2 linked regions of the Rattus norvegicus genome follow. The protein of the gene in region 1 purifies or fractionates together with the protein of each later gene. This does not show direct contact. Links are inferred from orthologs where the notes say so. Each region holds a gene or a part of one and is shown on either strand. Other genes may lie near its edges. The genes, in order: Arpc3 and Actr3b.

Region 1 (3,810 bases):
TGTAACTGTGGGCTTGGAAACCGTGAACGGAACTCGGGCCAGACATTTGCAGGGTCAGGAACAACAGAAAGGACGTTGTTGGCGGAACATCTCAAGACATGTCAGCTTAGGGAACAGTGAAAAGTTACCTCAGGAACTGAATGGGGAATCCAGAGTACAGCTGAGGGCGGAGTGGACATTGCACCCTGATGACTGCAAACACTTAACAACAGGTGGTAAAAGTGGGTAACCCCAAAATTCTCAGACCAGACTGGGAAACAAAGCTGTGATCTGCTGGAGGCAGAGGCAGGCAGTATTTCTGTGGTTTGAGGGCAACCTGGTCTACAGTATGAGTTCTAGGACAGTGAGGACTATACAGAGAAACTCTGTCTTAAAACACACATACACAGGGTTGGGGATTTAGCTCAGTGGTAGAGCGCTTGCCTAGCAAGCGCAAGGCCCTGAGTTCGGTTCCCAGCTCTGAAAAAAAGAAAAGAAACACACACACACAACCAAAATGGACCAGTAAACAGACACTTTTCAAACTAAAACATGAATGGCCAGTAACTATCTTGAAAAGTGTTCAACACCTCTGGTCTCAGGGGTACACAATTTAAATGCTCTGAGTGAGACACTACCTCACCATAGCCAGAAGCCGATCATTAGGAACTCTGACACCATGAGGTGCAGTGGCCAGCCATGGCAACACAGCAAGACCTTGTCTTTAAAAAACAACAAAGTTGGGGCTCGAGACCCCATATGAACAACAATGCCAACCAACCAGAGCTTCCAGGGACTAAGCCACTATACATGGACTGACCCTGGGCTCCAACCTCATAGGTAGCAATGAATAGCCTAGTGAGAGCACCAGTGGAAGGGGAAGCCCTTGGTCCTGCCAAGACTGAACCCCCAGTGAACATGATTGTTGGGAGGAGGGCGGTAATGGGGGGAGGATGGGGAGGGGAACACCCATATAGAAGGGGAGAGGGAGGGGCTAGGGGGATGTTGGCCCAGAAACTGGGAAATGGAATAACAATCGAAATATAAATAAGAAATACTCAAGTTAATAAAGATAAAAAAAAGAAAACAAACAAACAAACAAACAAAAAAACCAAAGTTATGGGCTGGAGAGATGGCTCAGTGGTTAAGGGCACTGACTGCTTTTCAGAGGACCTGGGTTCTGTTCCCAGCACCCACATGGTGGCTCACAACCATCTGTAATGAGATCTGATGCCCTCTTCTGGTGTGTCTGAAAATAGCAACAGTGTACTCATATAAATAAAACAAATAAGAGGGGTTGGGGATTTAGCTCAGTGGTAGAGCGCTTGCCTACGGAGCGCAAGGCCCTGGGTTCGGTCCCCAGCTCCGGAAAAAAGAACCAAAAAAAAAAAAAAAAAAAAACCAAAAAAAAAAACAAACAAACAAACAAAAAAAAAAAACAATAAAAAAAAACACAAATAAGTCTTAAAGGAAAAAAAAAAAAAGACTGAAGTACGGAAGCACACGCCTGTTACCCCAGACCCGGGGAAGAAGGCAGGAAGGGAGCACACGCCTGTTACCCCAGACCCGGGGAAGAAGGCAGCAGGAGCACCACAACTGAGGCTGGCTTGTTTGACCTCCAGGCCCACCAGGGTTTCAGAGAGAGATTTTTCTTCTCACATATCCAAGCAAGGCTTAAATAACACTGGGGTATGGTAAGAAACTGACAGAGGGCTGCAGAGATGGCTCAGTGGGTAAGAGGGCTTGCAGAGAAAGCTTGATCACCTGAGTTCGAATCCCCAGGACTCAGTGTAAAGTCAGACGTGGTTTAGTGATTTATGGTTTATTATCCTCTCACCTCCAGTTGTGGGCGGTGGCTCACATGGGCCCTCACATACAAATCAGAATGAAAAGAAAATGACTACTTTTTTGTTTTTAAAGTTGACCAAAGAAATAATAGCTTTGGTGGAGAAAGGTTCATTTTCCTTCCATTTTTTGTAAATTTTATTTATTATTATTATTATTATTATTATTATTATTATTATTATTATTATTTTTATATATGTGGGCAGCCAAAGGAAGGCAAAGGAAACAAGTATTCCCTGTTCACCAGAGACCTTGGGCATGCCTGGCTTTCTTCCAAGTTGCTACGTCCCTGAAAAGGGCACACAGTCAGCCCTTTGGAGAGGGAATCACCTTGGACTTCCTTCCATTTTTGGAGACAGGTTTCGCCCTTGCTTAGGCAGGTCTTGAACTACCAGACTCCAACCACCTCCTACCTCAGCCTCCTAGGTACTGCCCGTGCCCACGTAACGCTGTCTGTTGCTTATTTTGTCCAGCATGGTGACAGAAGAAGGCTGGGGACCTGCCATTCAGCCAGTCTGAAATGACTGACAGTGCCTGTGGGGACTGTGGCCAGAATTCAACACATTTCCTCTTTTTTTTTTTTTTTTTTTTTTTTTTGAGACAGAGTTTCAAGTAGCCCAAGTTGGCCTAGAACTTGCTGAGAATGACTTTGAACTTCTGATCTTCCTGCCGCCTCCTCCCAAGTGCTAGGATTATAGGTGTGCGCCCCAACACCTGGCTCTCAGTGTACCGTAGATGGGACCCAGGCTCTCCTCCATGCCAAGCAAGGTCTCTACCAACCCGGCCACATTTCCTTTAAGCTCACGCAAACATCCTAGGTTTTGAGAAAGCAGCTTCCTGTGGCGTGGGTAACTGTGATGCCGCCCCGTAGAGTGTAACAGGAAGCTGAGTACACGTGAATCAAGCTAAGCTCGTTCTCAAGTCAGCAGGTCTGTCTTGACCCCGAACAAAAGGACAGCGAGACTTACTCTCTCGAGGGGCGGGTCCTTTGAACTGGCTTCGGATGGGCAGCAGTGCCATGTTGCCAATGAGCTTGGTGTCAGGGTCCATGAGAGAAGAGTGGTAAGCCTGCGGAAGGAAGCCAGCAGGGGAGAAAGAACAAGTGTCACTAGGAGACAAGGCTAGTCCTCCAAAGGAAAACACCCTCAGGACCAACTGTGGGAGGAGAGGGCTGGTGGCAGCTACAGAGAGACAGCTCCTGACTCAAGAGAACAGACTGGTGGATTCTGAGACGTTCTGTCAGCTGGTTAGTGAGCACAGCCGTTCCCTAGACATTCACTGCAGAGACCACACAAAACAGGCTTCCCACCCGCCAGCTAGCCAGGACCCAAGCCCTAGTTTTGAAATCTGCCACTTCCTGCCTTATGACCACAACATGACTCTTCCTTGAACTTGTTTCCCCACCCCCAGCCCCTTCAACCACAACACGTAGCCCAGGCTGGTGGTCTCTCACTCTCACTCACTATGTAGGTGAGGATGACTTTGAACACCTTTAAAATTTATTTTATTTATATGAGTACACCTTAGCTATCTTCAGACACACCAGAAGAGGGCATCAGATCTCATTACGGATGGTTGTAAGCTGCCATGTAGTTGCTGGGATTTGAACTCAGGACCTCTGGAAGAGCAGTCAGTGCTCTTAACCACTGAGCCATCTCTCCAGCACCAACTTTGAACTTCTACCTCCCCTGCCCAATGCTGGGATGACGGGCCTAGATAACCACAGAACTGGCGACTAAACCAGGGCTTCAGGCACCCTAGGCAACTGCTTGCTCTACCAACTAAGCTCTACTCAGGTTCCCACTAGCTTTTCATGTCTTGTGTGAACGAAACCATTCATTCATTCATTCATTCATTCATTCATCAAATGACCGCTCGGCACCTTTTCTGTGCAAGATACGAGTGACAGTGTGACTTTTTTTTTTAAAGATTAAAAAATAATCTTAATTGTGTGTACGCTTGTATCTGCGGACGGGTATTTCTGTA
Region 2 (3,664 bases), on another chromosome or scaffold:
GCCAGTTTAATGATTCTCACCCCGCCTCACCCACCAGACGGCTGGTGCAGTCACATGATAGAGGCTGGCGCATTCGTGGGGCTGTGGGCAGAGGGAGGACGCATTTGAAAATGTTCCCCGGGTGATTTGAGTGTGCCTCTTTTCCACACTGCTGCTCTGAAGGGGTTCCAGTGTGAGCGGAAGGCCCTGTTGCCCTGTTGGCTATTATGGCAAAAAGAATTGAAGATCCATGTTAGTGATTTGTGTGGAACCTGCCTGTCAGTGAATGTGGCTTTTCTGTCGTCTTGGCTCTTGTCAGGGTTCTGCCCCAGGGCAGGGGGAGCTCGGGCACACGCTGCTTTGTGCTTTCAATTGCTTACGGTGAAGGAAGTACCAGGGGAATGATTGGTGGCAAGCCGTCACAAGAAAAAAATATAACCCATGCCTTTTGGCTAAGTAAGGTCTCAGGTGAGGGATTCAAGGAAGTCAGTTATTAATGCTGTGGGTAATAGACATGTTGGAAACTCTGGGGAGTTCAGGCCCTGGTGACATAGACAGACAGACAGACAGCATGGCAGAGCTCTGAGGAGAATCAGCCTATGAGGCAAGAGTGCCTTTTTATAGCCCCTTTTCTCTGAGGAAGGATGAAAGTTTCTCAGGAAGATTCTGCAGCCAGGCTGTGTCTGATTCTCCCTGCAGATGAAAAGGGACAGCTCTCACTGTTAAAGGAAATCAGGACTTACTCTGGAGAGGACTTTACAGCACCAAGGCCCGGAAATGCAGATTGAGGCTACCCCAGGTTCCATGCTCCAATGTGGAAGCAATTTCAGAGTTTTACAGATCAAAGAAAGTTGTAGATCAAAAAAAGTTTAAACTACACTGGTGGGCACATAAGGGAGGTGGATACAGCAGGATGGGCGTCTGCGTTTCTGTAGGCAGATGCTATTTGCTAACTGCCTTAGTTAGCTTTTGGTTTGGTGGAAACTAGGGATCTTCTAAGCTAATACCTTACTTTTATACATCAGTCACAGGATGTTTGTTCTGGCACAGGGGTGGACAAGGAATGGTTAACCCAGGACTAAAGCTAGCCTGAGGTAGGCAGCTTGCCTCTGGAGCTGCAGCATCCCGACCTCTCCATGCCCCTGCAGTTGTACTGCCGTCGGAATGCAGGCGGTCCAGCAGCAGTCTGCCTTCAGCTCCCGACGGCAGGCGTTCATGCCTCAGTTAGTGTCTGCGTCTGCGTCAGTGTGCTGCTTACCCAGCAGCCCTGCTGTGGGGCAGTGATGAGACCATCACAGACAGCTTGGTGTCACCCGAGGCGGCTCACTGTCCACTTTGGTCTTTCAGAACATCGTTCTCTCTGGAGGCTCCACAATGTTCAGAGATTTTGGACGCCGTCTGCAGAGAGATTTGAAGAGAGTGGTGGACGCCAGGTTAAAGCTGAGCCAAGAGCTCAGCGGGGGCAGGATAAAGGTAGGAGGCTGTGTGCAGGCTGCTGTCCGCCATGTCAGTGTGTGTGTGTGGGGGGGGGCAGGCAGTGAGGTGTGATGCCCAAATTCACACGTCCAAAGGGAGACGTCCTTAAGACCACTCAGACTCTCTTTTGCAAGATGAGGCATCAGTGTGTGTGACCAGGGTGCTGCAGAGACAATGGTGAGGGAATAACCTGTGTGTGCAGGGAACCAGGCTGTGCTTCTCCAAGGCCACAGCTCTGAGCTGCCCGGTGCTGCATGGGCTTCTCCCTGAGGTGGGATTTGGTAGGGAAGAGGGAGCAGAGAGCCCAGTGCAGTGAGGTGCCCGTTACAATGTTTGTTTTGTTTTAGTGTTTGGGGGTTCACTTTGTTATTGACCTTGCTAAGCCCAATGATTTGTTTGATTAATGCTAGGTTAGTGATGTGTTTCAGTACTGGAAGAGGGGGCCTCAGCTAGGCACGAGCACGTCCTCCCCTGAATCTCCTGGGCTGACAGTGCGGTGCGGCTGAGGCCGTCACTGGAGGAGCTCAGGGTCCGTCATGGTCACACTGGTGGAAGGATGTACTGTGCAGACTAAACGCGGTTGCTTGCCTTTGCAGCCTAAGCCTGTGGAGGTGCAGGTGATCACACACCACATGCAGCGCTACGCCGTCTGGTTTGGAGGCTCTATGCTCGCCTCGACTGTGAGTCCCTTTCTCGACTGCTCTGTTGTCCTTCCTGCTTCCCTATGGAGTTTGGATACAAACACGAAACAGCATCTGTTCTGTTTGCATGGCCTTCAATAGGCAAAATGAATTCTGTTTGATGTAAAAATGTTTTAGCTACCATTTAAATTGTATGTCTCGTTAACACACACCCTACTCATTGTCCTTTCCAAGTTGTTGGTTGGTTGGTTATTTATTTATTTATTTATTTATTTATTTATTTATTTCCCCCTCAATGTTGTTGGCAGTTATTTTTAGTTCACATTGACACATATTTGAACCCAGTAAGGGAAACTGAGTAAGTTTATTGTTGCTTTCCAATGTTGGAAATTGCTGAGTGAATTTTAAAAAGCGAAATAAACTTCTGCCTGGTTTGTCACCAGGTTTAGAACAGTGCTTGGCAGGGGGACCTGGGGATAAGGATAGCCTCTTCCCCTGCTCATCATCTTCCTTCCGCTGGCTGCTTCTCCTGCAGCCGGAGTTCTTTCAGGTCTGCCACACCAAGAAGGACTATGAGGAATACGGCCCCAGCATCTGCCGCCACAACCCCGTCTTCGGAGTCATGTCCTAGTGTCTGCCTCAGAGCCATTGTCTTGACAGTGTCCTGTTGGGGAATAAGTGTCCTTCAGAACCCAGAGCAGCCTTGGCTCCTGTACATAGCAGTGTGGAATCAGTGTGTGAGCAGCGTGATTTCATGGCCGGTGCTCGGGGCCGGGCACAGTCTTCCCAGTAAAGCCATTTATCCGGTGCGACTGTTCGTGGTCCTCCTCCCATCCCCCTCCCCTCCTGCCCCTCCCACTCTCTCTCCTTTCCACCTGAGCTTCTAGGCGAGCATAGCTCTGAAGGAGTCCATTGCAACCTTAGAAACTACCAGAGGAACACGTGATGCAAGTGGTTTCTCCGGGACAGACTGAAGGGTGGAGGAACCCTGGCCTTCCCAGCCTATTTTTGTAAATAAAATGTTATAAACTTGAAATACAAATTGATGTTTATATTTCCTATCATTTTGTATTTTATGGCATTTGGTATAACCGGCTAATATTAAGCATGAGTAGTCACAGAGTTCATGGATGTCACAGAGTTCTGTAATAAAGTGCTTAATTGTGAGGCATGCTCTGATGTCTGTACAGGCAAGTAAAACAGCAGGCCCAATGCCACATGTCTGCTGGGCAGTGATCACATGTTGGTGGGGTGGTGTGACATCTGGGCACTCACCAGGACTGGGTGGGAGTTGCTACAGATGGATCTGAACTTCCTGAAGCTGCTTTATAGAAGATGATGGTTTATGTTGTTGAGTGTGGGATGAAATACTATTGCACTGTTGTAATAAAAGCTGCTAGAATCTTTACAACTGTTCCTTGTGGTGTCTCTTGAGAACCTTGGACTCCACAGGTTTGCAGATGATAGATGACTGATACTGTGTGCATGCATGCGTGCGTGTGCACCTGTGTGTGTGTGTGTGTGTGCGTGTGTGTTAAAATTGATGTTACCCAAGACTGGGTGGATAA

What was found.
Region 2: the proteins of Arpc3 (region 1) and Actr3b purify together in Homo sapiens (affinity purification with mass spectrometry; 6 studies listed by BioGRID and IntAct, counting the BioPlex papers as one, with this or other methods). This does not show direct contact. The link is inferred for Rattus norvegicus from reciprocal best matches to the Homo sapiens genes ARPC3 and ACTR3B.

The regions. Positions count from the first base shown.
Region 1 is NC_086030.1:39,840,816-39,844,625, forward strand, and holds part of Arpc3 (actin-related protein 2/3 complex subunit 3), read right to left. Parts: intron 2,893-3,810; coding exon 2,793-2,892; intron 2,162-2,792; exon of another isoform or gene 2,019-2,161; intron 1-2,018. UniProt on the Homo sapiens protein: Component of the Arp2/3 complex, a multiprotein complex that mediates actin polymerization upon stimulation by nucleation-promoting factor (NPF).
Region 2 is NC_086022.1:9,995,396-9,999,059, reverse strand, and holds the end of Actr3b (actin-related protein 3B), read left to right. Parts: intron 1-1,326; coding exon 1,327-1,452; intron 1,453-2,051; coding exon 2,052-2,135; intron 2,136-2,631; coding exon 2,632-2,727; 3' UTR 2,728-2,905; downstream 2,906-3,664. UniProt on the Homo sapiens protein: Plays a role in the organization of the actin cytoskeleton.